Nothobranchius furzeri: one gene and its partners. The protein of the gene in region 3 interacts with the protein of the main gene of each other region in a biochemical or structural test. Links are inferred from orthologs where the notes say so. Each region holds a gene or a part of one and is shown on either strand. Other genes may lie near its edges.

Region 1 (4,095 bases), on a different chromosome or scaffold from region 3:
GGTCAGAACCAAACAGGGTGAAGCTGCTTTTAGCTACTATGCTGCAAACAGATGGACCCAGCTTCTTTGTGACCTCAAATGTGCCCCAACTCTAGAAACTTTTAAATAAAAATCTTAAATTTTAATGTTCTCCCTATTGGAATGCACATTAAATTGCCACTGTGCATGAAATGTGCTATACAAATGAAACTGCCTTGACTTCTATTCAGCTATGATGTCAAAATACTGTAACTGCAAGCAGCATGCACAAAAAGCATGACCTTTAAATTTACAACATCCTGCTGTGGTGGCAAAACACAAACATGCAGTAGATGATCTATAAACTGTGGCTGAATCGATCAACACTCTCAGTTATCCTAGAGGATGCATGACTGAATAAAAACAATTCTTGAACATTAAAAGTTAATCAAAAAGAAAAAAGGCAAAAATAAATAAATAAAAAAACAAATTTTTTTCTCCAAGGTCAATCACTGCAGATTTGCTAAAAGATGACCATTTAATCTTACCTGACTGGAACACATAGCGAGCCAAGCCTTGCATGAGTTCAGCTGGCCACGTTGGAGGTGCCGTCTCTCCCGCCTCTCTTTTGAGTCTAAAAGTGAGCTCAAACCCAAACCCACTGGGTCCATCTGCTCCAGTAAATCTGCAAGAACGGTGAGGCAACACTGAGCATGAGCCAGTAAGATCAGTGGTTTTTGCATGTGGTGTTGAAGGTTTCACTGTAAAAGGTGTATAGTGCAAATATTTATCCGACTGACTGGTGACACCCCACTTTTTAACTAAATTAACTAGAAATTTACATATTTTTTACACAAAGTGGCTTGTCATATTAGAAAATAATAAAACTTTTCCTTCACTCACTCGTGAACACGATTGTCTCCATAAAGGTCACTCAGGCCAAAGCTAACATAGTGCCAATGCTCCTGGACGTCCTGGGCTGGACAGCCCATGTTCCTGTACATGCTGATGTAGTCTAAAGGGTCTGGTCCACCAAGCCTGTTAAAAGAGCAAAATGCAAACCATCAGTCATAGAGCACTTAGTTAGCATGTGGGGCGTAAAATTACTTGCTAGTTTTTGTTTTCATATTTAGTTCTTGCTTGACTTGTTTGATACTGGATAACAGATGTTAGCTGAAGCATCTAAAGTTTATTGAAAATATTGTTTAAATCATAACATCATCATCACAACATATAATATTATTCAAGCCTTCGTTTTTTTATAGCTTTTTTCCCTTTTTGAGCATTTGTTATGATGTGTAACCATGGCAACAAGCTAGTTTACAATCGGGAGCAGCTGATTAACATTGGAAAGGCTGAAATAATACCTCAACTGAAGCCACAAATCCCAAATGAGCTAAAACGCAAGAAGCGTGGGTGCAGAGCGGGAGCAAAACGGAAACGGAGAAAGAGGAAATTCAAACCATCTCTTCCATTGATCATAATGGGCAATGTGAGATCACTGGCCAACAAGATGGAGGTCCTTTCAACGACTCAGCCAGAGTTTCTGCAGTTTCGGAACCACTGGAGGAGATAATGCAAAGAAGGATTCTCCAGAGAATCAAGAAAATTATGGACAACCCTGAGCATTCTCTTCACAAGACTGTCCGACAACGGAAGAGTGTCTTCAGTCAGAGGCTTCTTCAGTTTCTCTGCAACAGTAATCACTAGTGGAGATCCTTCCTGCCAACAGCCATTGTAATATACAACAACTCTTTGATGACTTGATTATTATTATTATTCTGAGCTACTACAGCAATCAATTTCCCTCTGGGATTAATAAAGTATTTTTGAATTGAATTGTACTTCTAGGAATGGAAATATAAAATATTTGCTTTCTTTGATCTATTAAATGTCCCTGGCAACATTTTAAAAACTGCTTAAATATGAGTTTCCATCATAAATGGGTTAAGAATAAGACCTCTACCCTCAGCACAACTACTGAGCAAATATCAAATCCTATTTAAAACAGTCTAATGTGATAATGAAGATTGCATTTCATATTTTCTTGTTTTATACTGAAAAAACAACGTTATAGGTTGCCTCACCCCAATTTTCCTCTTTCCGGAGATTCTGGGGATTAAAGTGTAATACTTCATGTAGAGTTCAGGTGAAATCTACATATTATCCTAGATAGGTTTATTCTTCAAACACCATGCTAAAAGTATTACTGTAGAATTATAAGATACTGAATATTTGACAATAAATCAGTTAAGAATTATAACGTCAAATTTTCTGTATACGTATTATTTTATTAGGTTGTCTTTTGAATATTGCTGTGCTTGTATCGTGTTTTGTAAGGGACACATATAGCGTGAGCAGTTTTTTTTGGCCACACGATCGTTTAGAAAGTTAGCAAAACTGTTTACGTTAGCACGTAGGCTAAGCTAACTGAAGGCTAGCATTTAGCTAAAGCTAAATAAACGCATTCACAAACTTCACGCAGGCATAATTATACCAGCAAAAACAAAACATGTTACATACCAATACTTAACAATGGCAGTAACTTGCAGAGGGTTGGCCTGCTCGGGGTAAAGTCGCCGACATTCTCCATAGATAGCCTGTAGTCCCGGAGGAAACAGCGGCACCAGCCCGTGGGCTGGGGCACCACTGGTAGGCCGTACTTCATCCATGCCAGGGCCTCGAACAAGTCACTTTTTTCTATAAAGAAACAACGTATAATCCGTTTAGTTAACTTGTTCACCTACATGAATGCTTCACAAACGAATTGTGTAACCAGAAATAGATTACTGTGCTAAAACGTTGTTGGAGCCTGTTGCTCGTCCTGGTACACAAAATAGAGAAAAGGGAGCATTCAATTGTTCAACTATTGGTTGGGCCGGTGTAAACGTCATTGAGTGAATGGTGTTGTTAGCCAATGACAATGAAATATGGATTTAAACATGACTGTGATTGGCTGAGTGGTTGTAAGAAGGCGGGTATATGTTCAGGGTTGGGTCCTCATAATTCAGAAGTTTCTCAGGGGGCAGATGATAACATAATTTTAGAGTTTCATTTTTGAAAACATATGGTGTTAAAATACGCAGCAAAGTGTTTTCCATTGAAACGTCTGAGATGAAATTTCAAAAGACTAAAATAAATAAATAAATGAACTAATGTTACAGCTTAGATTTTAAGAAATATATAACTAAACTAATATAAAACTATGTTTCACAAGGTTATGCCAGGAAGTAAAACTTTTGTGAACAGCATTAATGGGCTGTTTTTTTCTAAAACTATGACTCATTCCTTATAAATAGTAAACTCAAACAATTGCATGTCTGGTTTTGTTTGGGTTCATGTAGTCTTTTTAAGAACTTGTTCTCTTCACATTTCTTTGTGCTTTGTAACCAACAAATCATCACAATACTTAAATAACTAAATCAAATATAAAACTGAAGTGAATGTGTCATGAAGGCCGGCTGCACTCACTGATATACATTTGGCAAAACCACCATTTAAAAAAACTACCACAACCATAAAGCTGGGCATTTGTTGAATTGCATTAAACAACAACGCCTAAATATCTGCTCCATATAGCATGGAACTATAAATAAGCTTGGGGTTTTACTTAATTATTGTCCAGAACTCAATGAAGACAACTGCATGATAATTTGTTCTTTATTAGTTGTTTTATTTTATAACATCAAGACAGTTACATACAAAAAATTAAATGAACATCATATAAACATACAGATGACATTCCGGGTCACAACAGTGATAATAAAATCACTTCTATATTCATGTACATCTATATCTGTTTCCTAAATCATTATTGTGTATAGGCTAATCTATTTTACAAAGTTCTGTAGACAGTATTGTGAAAAAAACACAGTATTAATGTGACGTTTCTTCACATTTATATTTTTGGTGCATTTTAATGTAGTTTACATATTTTACAAAGTTTCCACTGTGGCTCAACTATATAATAACTATATTGTTCTGGTACAAAAACAGAAGTAATTTTAAAAACTGTCGTGGATCACAGTGAAAGAAAAAAAATTTGAATTTTGATCATTATGGCCTGGGAACAGGAGGATTCTCAGGTTTACAGAGAACCCAACTATTACTGAGGGCGTGAGTAAAAACTGTAGGGAA
Region 2 (3,906 bases), on a different chromosome or scaffold from region 3:
TAAAAACAATGATTCAAAAAAGTAAAACACCTAAAACCCAAGAAAAAGCTAGATAGCATAATGTAGGTGGTACATAAATAAAACATAGAATTTAAAACCAAACAATTAAAATAGGTAAGACACAAAATAGAAAGCCGAAAGCTGAGGACACACCCATTAGGAGGACTTCACTGGCTGAAAGCCAGTTTGAAGAGATGTGACTTCAGTTTTGATTTCAAATGCACAAGTGTCGAAGCCAGGCACACTTCCAGAGGGAGTGCGTTCTACAGCTTAGGAGCGGCAATGGCAAATGCCCGCTCACCGTGGGATGGATATTTCATTTTAGGAGTGCAGAGCAATTGATCTGTAGATTGTAGTGATCGGGAGGGGAGTTGGCAAGTGAGCAGCTCAGACAGGTAGTGGGGTGCGTGATCATTCAGAGCTTCATAAGTGAACAACAAAATTTTAAACTGCACTTGGTAGGTCACAGGAAAGTGTAGATCAGCCAAGGTGGGAATGATATGGCATCGTCTGCTTGTAGTTGTAAGGAATCGTGCAGCAGCATTTTAGACTTTCTTTAAGCAGTTAACAGAGGCACCAACAAGGACTGAATATGCATAGTCAAGTTTTGAGATGATAAACACGTGAATAACCTATTCCAGGTGTGGTCTTCTAAGGATGGGTTTTTAGCGTGTCAAGACATCACAGTTGGAAAAAAGACCTCACAGTAGCATTTATCTGTGGGGTCATTGATATGTCTGCATCTAGTTTGACCCAGAGGTTGGTCGCACAGGATTAGAGATTCATGCAGGTGTGGCAAGGTGGAGAAACGAGGGCTCGAGCAGGATTTCGATCCCCAGACTCGCGGGTGAGAATCACGCACGCTAACAAGCCAACCAAAAGGATATTCCCGTGGCCAAGTTGCCAGGGCGCATGATCAATCGGGATACAGTGACAGGAGGTCACCCTGTAACACGGGAGATCAAGAGTTGAAAATTCATGCAGGTTCCTATTTTTTTTGGTTTAAAGAGAATGGCCTCAGTCTTATCATCATTAAGCCAGAGCAAGTTGAAAGCAATCCAGGCCTTAACATCAGAGAGACAAGAAGTAGATTAATGGAACCAGTTTGATCTAAGGCTAGTTAAGCCTGACAGCCATCAGTATAGAAGTAATAGTGCAAACCAGTTTTCACTAAAATATTGCCGAGAGGGAGAATATAGACAGTGAAGAGGGGTGGACCTAGGATTAAACCCTGAGGTACTCCCCAGGAAAGCAGGATGAAGACAGACATGTTTTAATTGCTCTGGCTATTCCACATTAATATTAATGTGTAGTGATTATATCACAATGCTTCACCCTGCAGGTGGATATGATGGTCTAAATATTTTGAATTCAGTGGAGCGGTACGACCCGCACACAGGACACTGGACCAGTGTGACGCCCATGGCTACGAAACGATCAGGTGAATCTGAAAACCGCTGTGTGTGTGTGTGTGTGTGTGTGTGTGTGTGTGTGTGTGTGTGTGTGTGTGTGTGTGTGTGTGTACGCGCGCGCGCTTGTGTGCATGCTACTCTGACCCTAACCGTTGTGTTCAGGAGCTGGTGTGGCTTTACTCAATGACCACATTTATGTGGTGGGGGGGTTTGATGGAGTTTCTCACCTGGACTCGGTGGAGGTGTACAACATCCGAACAGACTACTGGACCACTGTGGCCAGTATGACCACTCCTCGGTGTTACGTAGGAGCAACCGTCCTCCGAGGACGACTCTACGCCATCGCAGGGTGAGAATGAGCATCCTTCTCTCTGTATCTGATGTTTGACCTCTGACCTGTTAGAGCTGAGACGGAAGGATTAGCACTGCATGGTCATGCTAATTTGAAAATGATCGAACCTGGGCTATAAGTGGTAAGAGTTTATTATTATGCAAATGTTGAAGGAAAAAGTCGATGAACAATGAGATGTTTTAATTCCAACAGAGATTAACGGATGAAGTGATGCTGGCTGTGGCTGGAAAGCACCTAGATGCTGTTGCACTCAACTTCTCTGTTTAATTTCTGTAAAGCAGCCTTGGGACAGTTTTGTGACCAAATTGTGAATACGGGAACAAATGGAACCACAAATTGAGGCATTTTGCTACATGTATATTTGCACTAGTTTTCCAGTTTATCTGTCAGTGATCGATGAGAGTCAGGATCCCTTCAAGTTCCAACTGAATGTTTGCATGTATTTTTTTTTTCAGGCATATTTTAATCATTAATACAGAAATTTTTCATCCTTTTACAAATACAGTGATTGTGTGAGACTCAAGAAGATGCATCATATTTATTTAGACATTTAGCTCATTGCTGTGATACAACAGAGTGGTTATGTGTTGGGTTCTGCCTTCATTCACACAGGTGTGTGTGTGTGTGTGTGTTCTGGTGCGGCTCACTGCTCACTCTCTGTTTTCTCCAGATATGACGGAAACTCTCTCCTCAGCAGTATTGAATGTTATGACCCAGTTATTGACTCCTGGGAGGTCGTCACATCGATGGCGACCCAGCGATGTGACGCAGGCGTCTGCGTTCTGCGAGAAAAATGATGTTCTGCAAGAGCAAGAACCACAAGAAGAAAAGGACAGGCAGCTAGACTTTTGCTAAAATGCCGCTAAATTAAACCACAAAGGAAGACGTTTTTGTGCCAGTATGCAAAGATACTCCTAAAGGGGAAAAAAGGTGACGTGCAGCAGTTTGGGCTTTTTCCTCTGAAGGTTAGTTCACCTTTTGTCAGTGCGCTGCAGAGCCTCAGCCTCGCCGTGGTCAACCACACTTCACTTCCAAGGAGCCCATCACCACTTGCATGACTCTTCAGTGGTGTCTGTTGTTACCTGTGAGATTATTTTTTCAGTTTGTCTTCAAAGTGCAATATATTTTTACTCATCAACAAAAAAGGATGGAGCAGGTTTAGGCTCCCCTTGCTGCTAAATGCCTTATGACTTTGGCCTATCATCCACCAGTGGACGTTCATGATGCCGCCCATGAGAATGATGGTTAAGTGAACTGATGTGCCATTTGCAGGCTCTTTAATGGGTCAGTAGTTCACTCCCCTCTTTTGTAACTCATTGTGATAATGGTACTTTTAGATAGAAATCACTTTAACACAAAAGGTTTATTACTAAAGATATATTTCAAGAAGAATATTGTTTTAGAAATTGACTTACATGTACAATCCGATGATTTTTCCTCTCCTATTTGGCAAAACTGAGGGATGCATGAAGCCCCTCCCCCTCCAAACACACACACACACACACACTAACATCATTGTTTTTTGGGAAATTCAATAAAAAAAAAACTCTGAGAAACCGGTTATCTAATCAGCTTCTTCAGTCTAGTCAGCTCTCAAAGTGCAATCCAGTTCTTACACTTAAACCAGTTAGAGTTTTGGTTTAATAGACAAAACTAGTGAAAACAAAATGATTTTACATTTCAAAAATATCAGTCCAGCACTTTGTTTTCCACTTAAGTTTGGATTATTCTTTTGGTTTTGGAAAGATTACAGAAAGGTCAAATAATTAACTTGGTTAGGTTAGGTTAAAAACGTTACTGTTTTACCAAACCTGAATAAATTCTTACCAGCTGTGGTGGTCAGATTTTTAGTTTGGTACCAAGGTGTAAAATTGTTTTCCCAGCTGAGTTCAGTTCAATAACTTTGGTACAAAGTTCAAAAAGTGTCTTTTTCCCAGTCGGAACACTTGAGATGATTTATGAAATAAAGACATGAGGAGAAAAACACAAACTTCGGTTACATAAATTAGAATTGATAGATTTAAGGTTCTAGAATCATTTAATTGCAGGACAAATGTACTTCAGATCTTTTTGTGTGTTTCTACAAAAACATAATGATCAGTATCTTACATCCTGTAGATTGCTCTTTGAACAGCCTCAGGC
Region 3 (4,167 bases):
AGTTGAACCTTCACCAGCTGGAGTGTTTATGAGTGCTCATGCTTACCATCTCAGAGCAGTCGTTGGCGCAGGTGGGCACAGGCAGAGGAATGGGCACAGTCACAGACACACCGGCAGTCCGGAAAAGCACCGGTGGTGGAATTAGTTTAGCAGGAACCGCCGACAGAAGACTCCTCCCCTGGCCTTCCCAGATAGCGAGTTCTCTCTGCGACAGCAAGAACTTGGAGCAGTCCTCAGGAGATGCGAGTGCTGCGTATCGCTCAGCGAGCTTGGAAGCGGCCGACGCGCTGATGCCACCTCCGCAAACACCGGGGACACCGATTCCAGCAACGCTGTTGTGACGGCACCCGTTGACACCGGCTTCCAGCTGGTCGCTGTCTTCGTCGAGATCACGGTTGTTGCTGTGGATGATGAAGCAGAGCATGCAGGGCCCCCGCAGAAAACAGTTTCTCCTCTTCTTCTTCCTGTGATTCAGTTTGCGTGTCCTCTTCTTCAGGCGTAAACCATTTTTGGAGAGAAGATGGCCCATATAGATGACTCAACGAAACTCTAGAAGATCAAGAATGCATTTGTTAGAAAATGACCGTAAATCATGTCTCGTTACACCAAAATCTAAATTAAAATATGCCTCATTAGTAAAAAAAAAATGAAGCCATTAAATTTCTGGCAGACAGTAAGCATACAATGCAGAAGTCCTAAACTACATTTATTTTTATATATGTAGCTTCCAAAGAGCAAAGCATTCATTGTCATGTTGTTAAACAACTTTTGTTAATTATAGAAGTGTATTCTTTAGACTTCTGCTGCTTTTTCCCTAATTTCCAATGACAGCGTGATTTAGAGTGTGAATAAATGACAGCAAACCAGCCGAACAGAATTTGAAAGAATTTCTTGAAGAAATAGTACAAATTCAGCGAAGGTCTGAAACAGGACCAGAGAGATTGATTAACTGCTGTATGTCACTTTTCAGAATCAGAATCAGAATAGGTTTATTGCCATTGTCAGTGAACAAACAATTCACAAACTAGGAACTTGCTTCGGTACGAATGTGCTCCATATAACATGAATAATAAGATTAAAAATAGAATAAAATAGAATAAAAAAAAACGAATAAAACTTTCAGCGATAAAAAATGGCAGGTAATGGTAACATGGCCGATAACGTATCTTTGTGTCGAGTACAGAAGACGAGCATGGTTGTGTGTTTATAATCTATTCACAAGTCTAACGGCAGATGGAAAGAAGCTGTTCTTATGGTGAAAGGTTCTGGTCCGGATGGACCGTAACCTCCTGCCTGAGGGAAGCGGCTCAAAAAGTCTGTGACCCGGGTGCGAAGGGTCAGCTGCTATCCGACCTGCACGCCCCCGAGTTCTGGAGACGTACAGGTCCTGGAGAGATGGAAGGCTGCAGCCAATCACCTTCTCATCAGAGCGCACAATGCGCTGCAGTCTATGTTTGTCCCTCACTGTGGCTCCAGCGTACCACACAGCGATGTAGGAGGTGAGGATGGACTCAATGATGGCCGTGTAAAACTGCACCATCATCTGGGCCGGCAGCTTGGCCTTTTTCAACTGCCGCAGAAAGTACATCCTCTGCTGGGCCTTTTTGATCAGGGAGCTGATGGATGGCTCCCACCTAAGGTCATGTGTGATGGTGGTTCCGAGGAAGCGGAAGGAGTCCACAGTGGTGACGGGGGTGTACGTCAGCAGACAGCTCACTGGGCATCACCTTGTTAACATACAATTTAACTATTTTAGGTGGTATGTGCTACATTTGGATTTTTTACATGAACTGTATTCAAGAAATCTGAAAAAATTTGTCTTTTCGACAGCTGTCGAGAATGAACTATTTAATACTGATTAAATGTTGTTTTTATGTTATATAATTATTATTTTTTAATTCCCATCTCACCCTCTGCGGGTAGTCTCATCCTTCCAATCTCAGTTCTTCTATCAGTGGCCTGGGAGCTTGAGGGTTCTGCGCATTATCTAGGGCCTTATGAAATTAATTTTAATGCCCTCTTAAAAACCTGTTTACCACCACATGTTTTTGTTATATTTTTCTGCATTTGTTTATCTAAAGTCGGCTGTTCTAAAAAAAATTAAAACAGAAAAAATTTAAACTAATTCTGGATGACAAACTATGAAAATATAATAAAATAGATTTCACACAAATGGCTTAACAAAAAGAAAGACATTTTGTTAAAATTATCAGAAAATGAGAGAAGTCAGTCCAAATGAAGGACATTTGAAATTTCCTGAAGAAATCTTGCTTATCTATTGTAAATAATTACAAAATGTCTGATTTGATGCAAAATATTTTTAAACTGTCAATGTTTGCACAGTTATGCAAAGAACGACAGAGCAGATCCTAAAAATCTATGAGGAAGCTTAGAGCAACTATTTTCCTCGTCATAAAATAAGCAAACGTTGTTGTCAACGGCTAACTTTCAGCTGATCATCAGCAGAAACATCTGCAGAGATGTCTCGTCTGTTTGTTGTCGAAGGAAAACACAAAGATGTAAACAGTGAACAGGTGGTCGTTTGTTTAGCTTGCGCAAACACACAAACGCAGTCTAAAACATCCGGTTTAGAATTGTACCCGAGCTCTCTGCGGGTTTATGTCCGATATTGACTCACAGTTATCCTGTCAGTTGAAACCACTGGGGAAAAAAGATCCTAACGGTGTGTTCTGATAGGCCAGTCATCATCAGATGCTAAGTTTAAGTTAGCTGTAGCTCTCACCACTTCACACGCTGCGGCCACACTCCGAACGATGCTCGCATAATACCGCTGTAGTAAACGTCCAAAACCAGCGCTGACAGGTCCCGAAGGAAGAGATACGGCCACGGGGAGACCTGGAATCGAGCCGCTGCGGTCTTAATCCAAACAGCACTGGGCTTCTGTGCAGCACTTCCGCAGCGCGAGGGCAGAACGACGGAAGCCGACGAGGGAGTTTTTCAATTCGTCATGGGAACAGAACGAGCGTCGGTTATTTATGTTCGAAACGCATTTTTAACAGTTATCTTGCAACTTTATCCCTACAAAATGATCAATTAGAATTCCTAAATGTCACCTGCAAACTCCCCCAGCTAAATTATCCACAGTGTTCCTCTAAATAAAGTTTTCTTTGTAATAAATAAGTCACATTTTCTAAATCGTTTCAGGGTTTTAGATCACTCTGATAAAGAATTTCTCAAGGAATATAACTTACACTGAGTTCTAAGAGTACTGTTCAGGAATATTTGTTAAATCTACGTTTCACTTTGTGATGCATTACCTTTTCAATAATAAGCGTCAGTCATACTCATATTTCTGGTGTAACAAACATGTTTGGTGTAGTATTCATGATCCTACTAATGTAAAAGAAAAACAACTAGAAAGGCCATTTCTTGCACACGCGCGCGCGCACACATACACACACACACACACACACGCCCTGCAGCTTGTGGGCATGAATCAGCTGCTTGTTCCTCCAGCCGTGAAGGCAACTCCCAAAAATAGCGCTGCGTGCTGGGAAGCTCCAGGAAACATGGCTGAAGTCGTTTCACCAATTACCCAACAAGTTCGCAGGGAGCGCTGGGGAAAAGAAACCAGAAGAGTCGATCTTAATCTCAAAGAAGTAGAAGATTGTTTAATTCACGACCGACACGGAAACTCTTTCCCTTTCAAAGGTTTATATCAGGACAGGAAATCGGTCATCGTTTTCGTGCGGGTAGGAAACAAAAAGTTCTTCATTAGGTTTTGTGCTGTTGATTAATTGCATTTAAATGAACAATTTAAGCACAGGTTTGTTTTAATATATGCTATGCATCAAATGAACTTTTGATGCGGTATTTAAAAAACTTCTGGTGGACAGAAAAGTTCCTTTGATTGTTACTTCTCTCCGTTCCTGCAGAACTTCTTGTGTTACAGCTGCAAAGAGTATGTTGATGATTTGAGCAAAGTACCAAGAGAAGCTCTGGAGGTGAGTTTTCTAAGCTGCAAACCAAATGTTTATAATGTTTATAGCTGTTTTATTATTCAGAAATTCCTCATGCACGTGACTTTGCAGGTTGCAGGAATCAGACTGGTTGTGATTGGTCAGTCTTCTTATCATCATATAGAGGTGAGTTAGTTTTTGTATTTAATTTAATATTTTTATTGATTTAAATGAATGCATGTTTGAA

Evidence for each region.
Region 1: of the proteins of fbxl17 (region 3) and sufu, one has a biochemical effect on the other in vitro, tested with the Homo sapiens proteins (2 studies listed by BioGRID, with this or other methods). The link is inferred for Nothobranchius furzeri from reciprocal best matches to the Homo sapiens genes FBXL17 and SUFU.
Region 2: the proteins of fbxl17 (region 3) and kelch-like protein 12 form a complex in vitro, tested with the Homo sapiens proteins (3 studies listed by BioGRID, with this or other methods). The link is inferred for Nothobranchius furzeri from reciprocal best matches to the Homo sapiens genes FBXL17 and KLHL12.

The regions. Positions count from the first base shown.
Region 1 is NC_091752.1:22,197,709-22,201,803, forward strand, and holds the start of sufu (suppressor of fused homolog), read right to left. Parts: upstream 2,830-4,095; 5' UTR 2,749-2,829; exon of another isoform or gene 2,659-2,748; 5' UTR 2,631-2,658; coding exon 2,482-2,630; intron 1,522-2,481; exon of another isoform or gene 1,422-1,521; intron 997-1,421; coding exon 862-996; intron 644-861; coding exon 507-643; intron 1-506. UniProt on the Homo sapiens protein: Negative regulator in the hedgehog/smoothened signaling pathway. Down-regulates GLI1-mediated transactivation of target genes. Down-regulates GLI2-mediated transactivation of target genes. Part of a corepressor complex that acts on DNA-bound GLI1.
Region 2 is NC_091755.1:52,034,731-52,038,636, reverse strand, and holds the end of kelch-like protein 12, read left to right. Parts: intron 1-1,342; coding exon 1,343-1,441; intron 1,442-1,574; coding exon 1,575-1,761; intron 1,762-2,434; coding exon 2,435-2,561; 3' UTR 2,562-3,290; downstream 3,291-3,906. UniProt on the Homo sapiens protein: Substrate-specific adapter of a BCR (BTB-CUL3-RBX1) E3 ubiquitin ligase complex that acts as a negative regulator of Wnt signaling pathway and ER-Golgi transport.
Region 3 is NC_091757.1:53,120,296-53,124,462, forward strand, and holds the start of fbxl17 (F-box/LRR-repeat protein 17), read right to left. Parts: upstream 2,944-4,167; 5' UTR 2,744-2,943; intron 550-2,743; 5' UTR 530-549; coding exon 47-529; intron 1-46. Other genes in the region: prxl2c (peroxiredoxin-like 2C), read left to right, coding at 3,453-3,713, 3,897-3,965, 4,053-4,106. UniProt on the Homo sapiens protein: Substrate-recognition component of the SCF(FBXL17) E3 ubiquitin ligase complex, a key component of a quality control pathway required to ensure functional dimerization of BTB domain-containing proteins (dimerization quality control, DQC).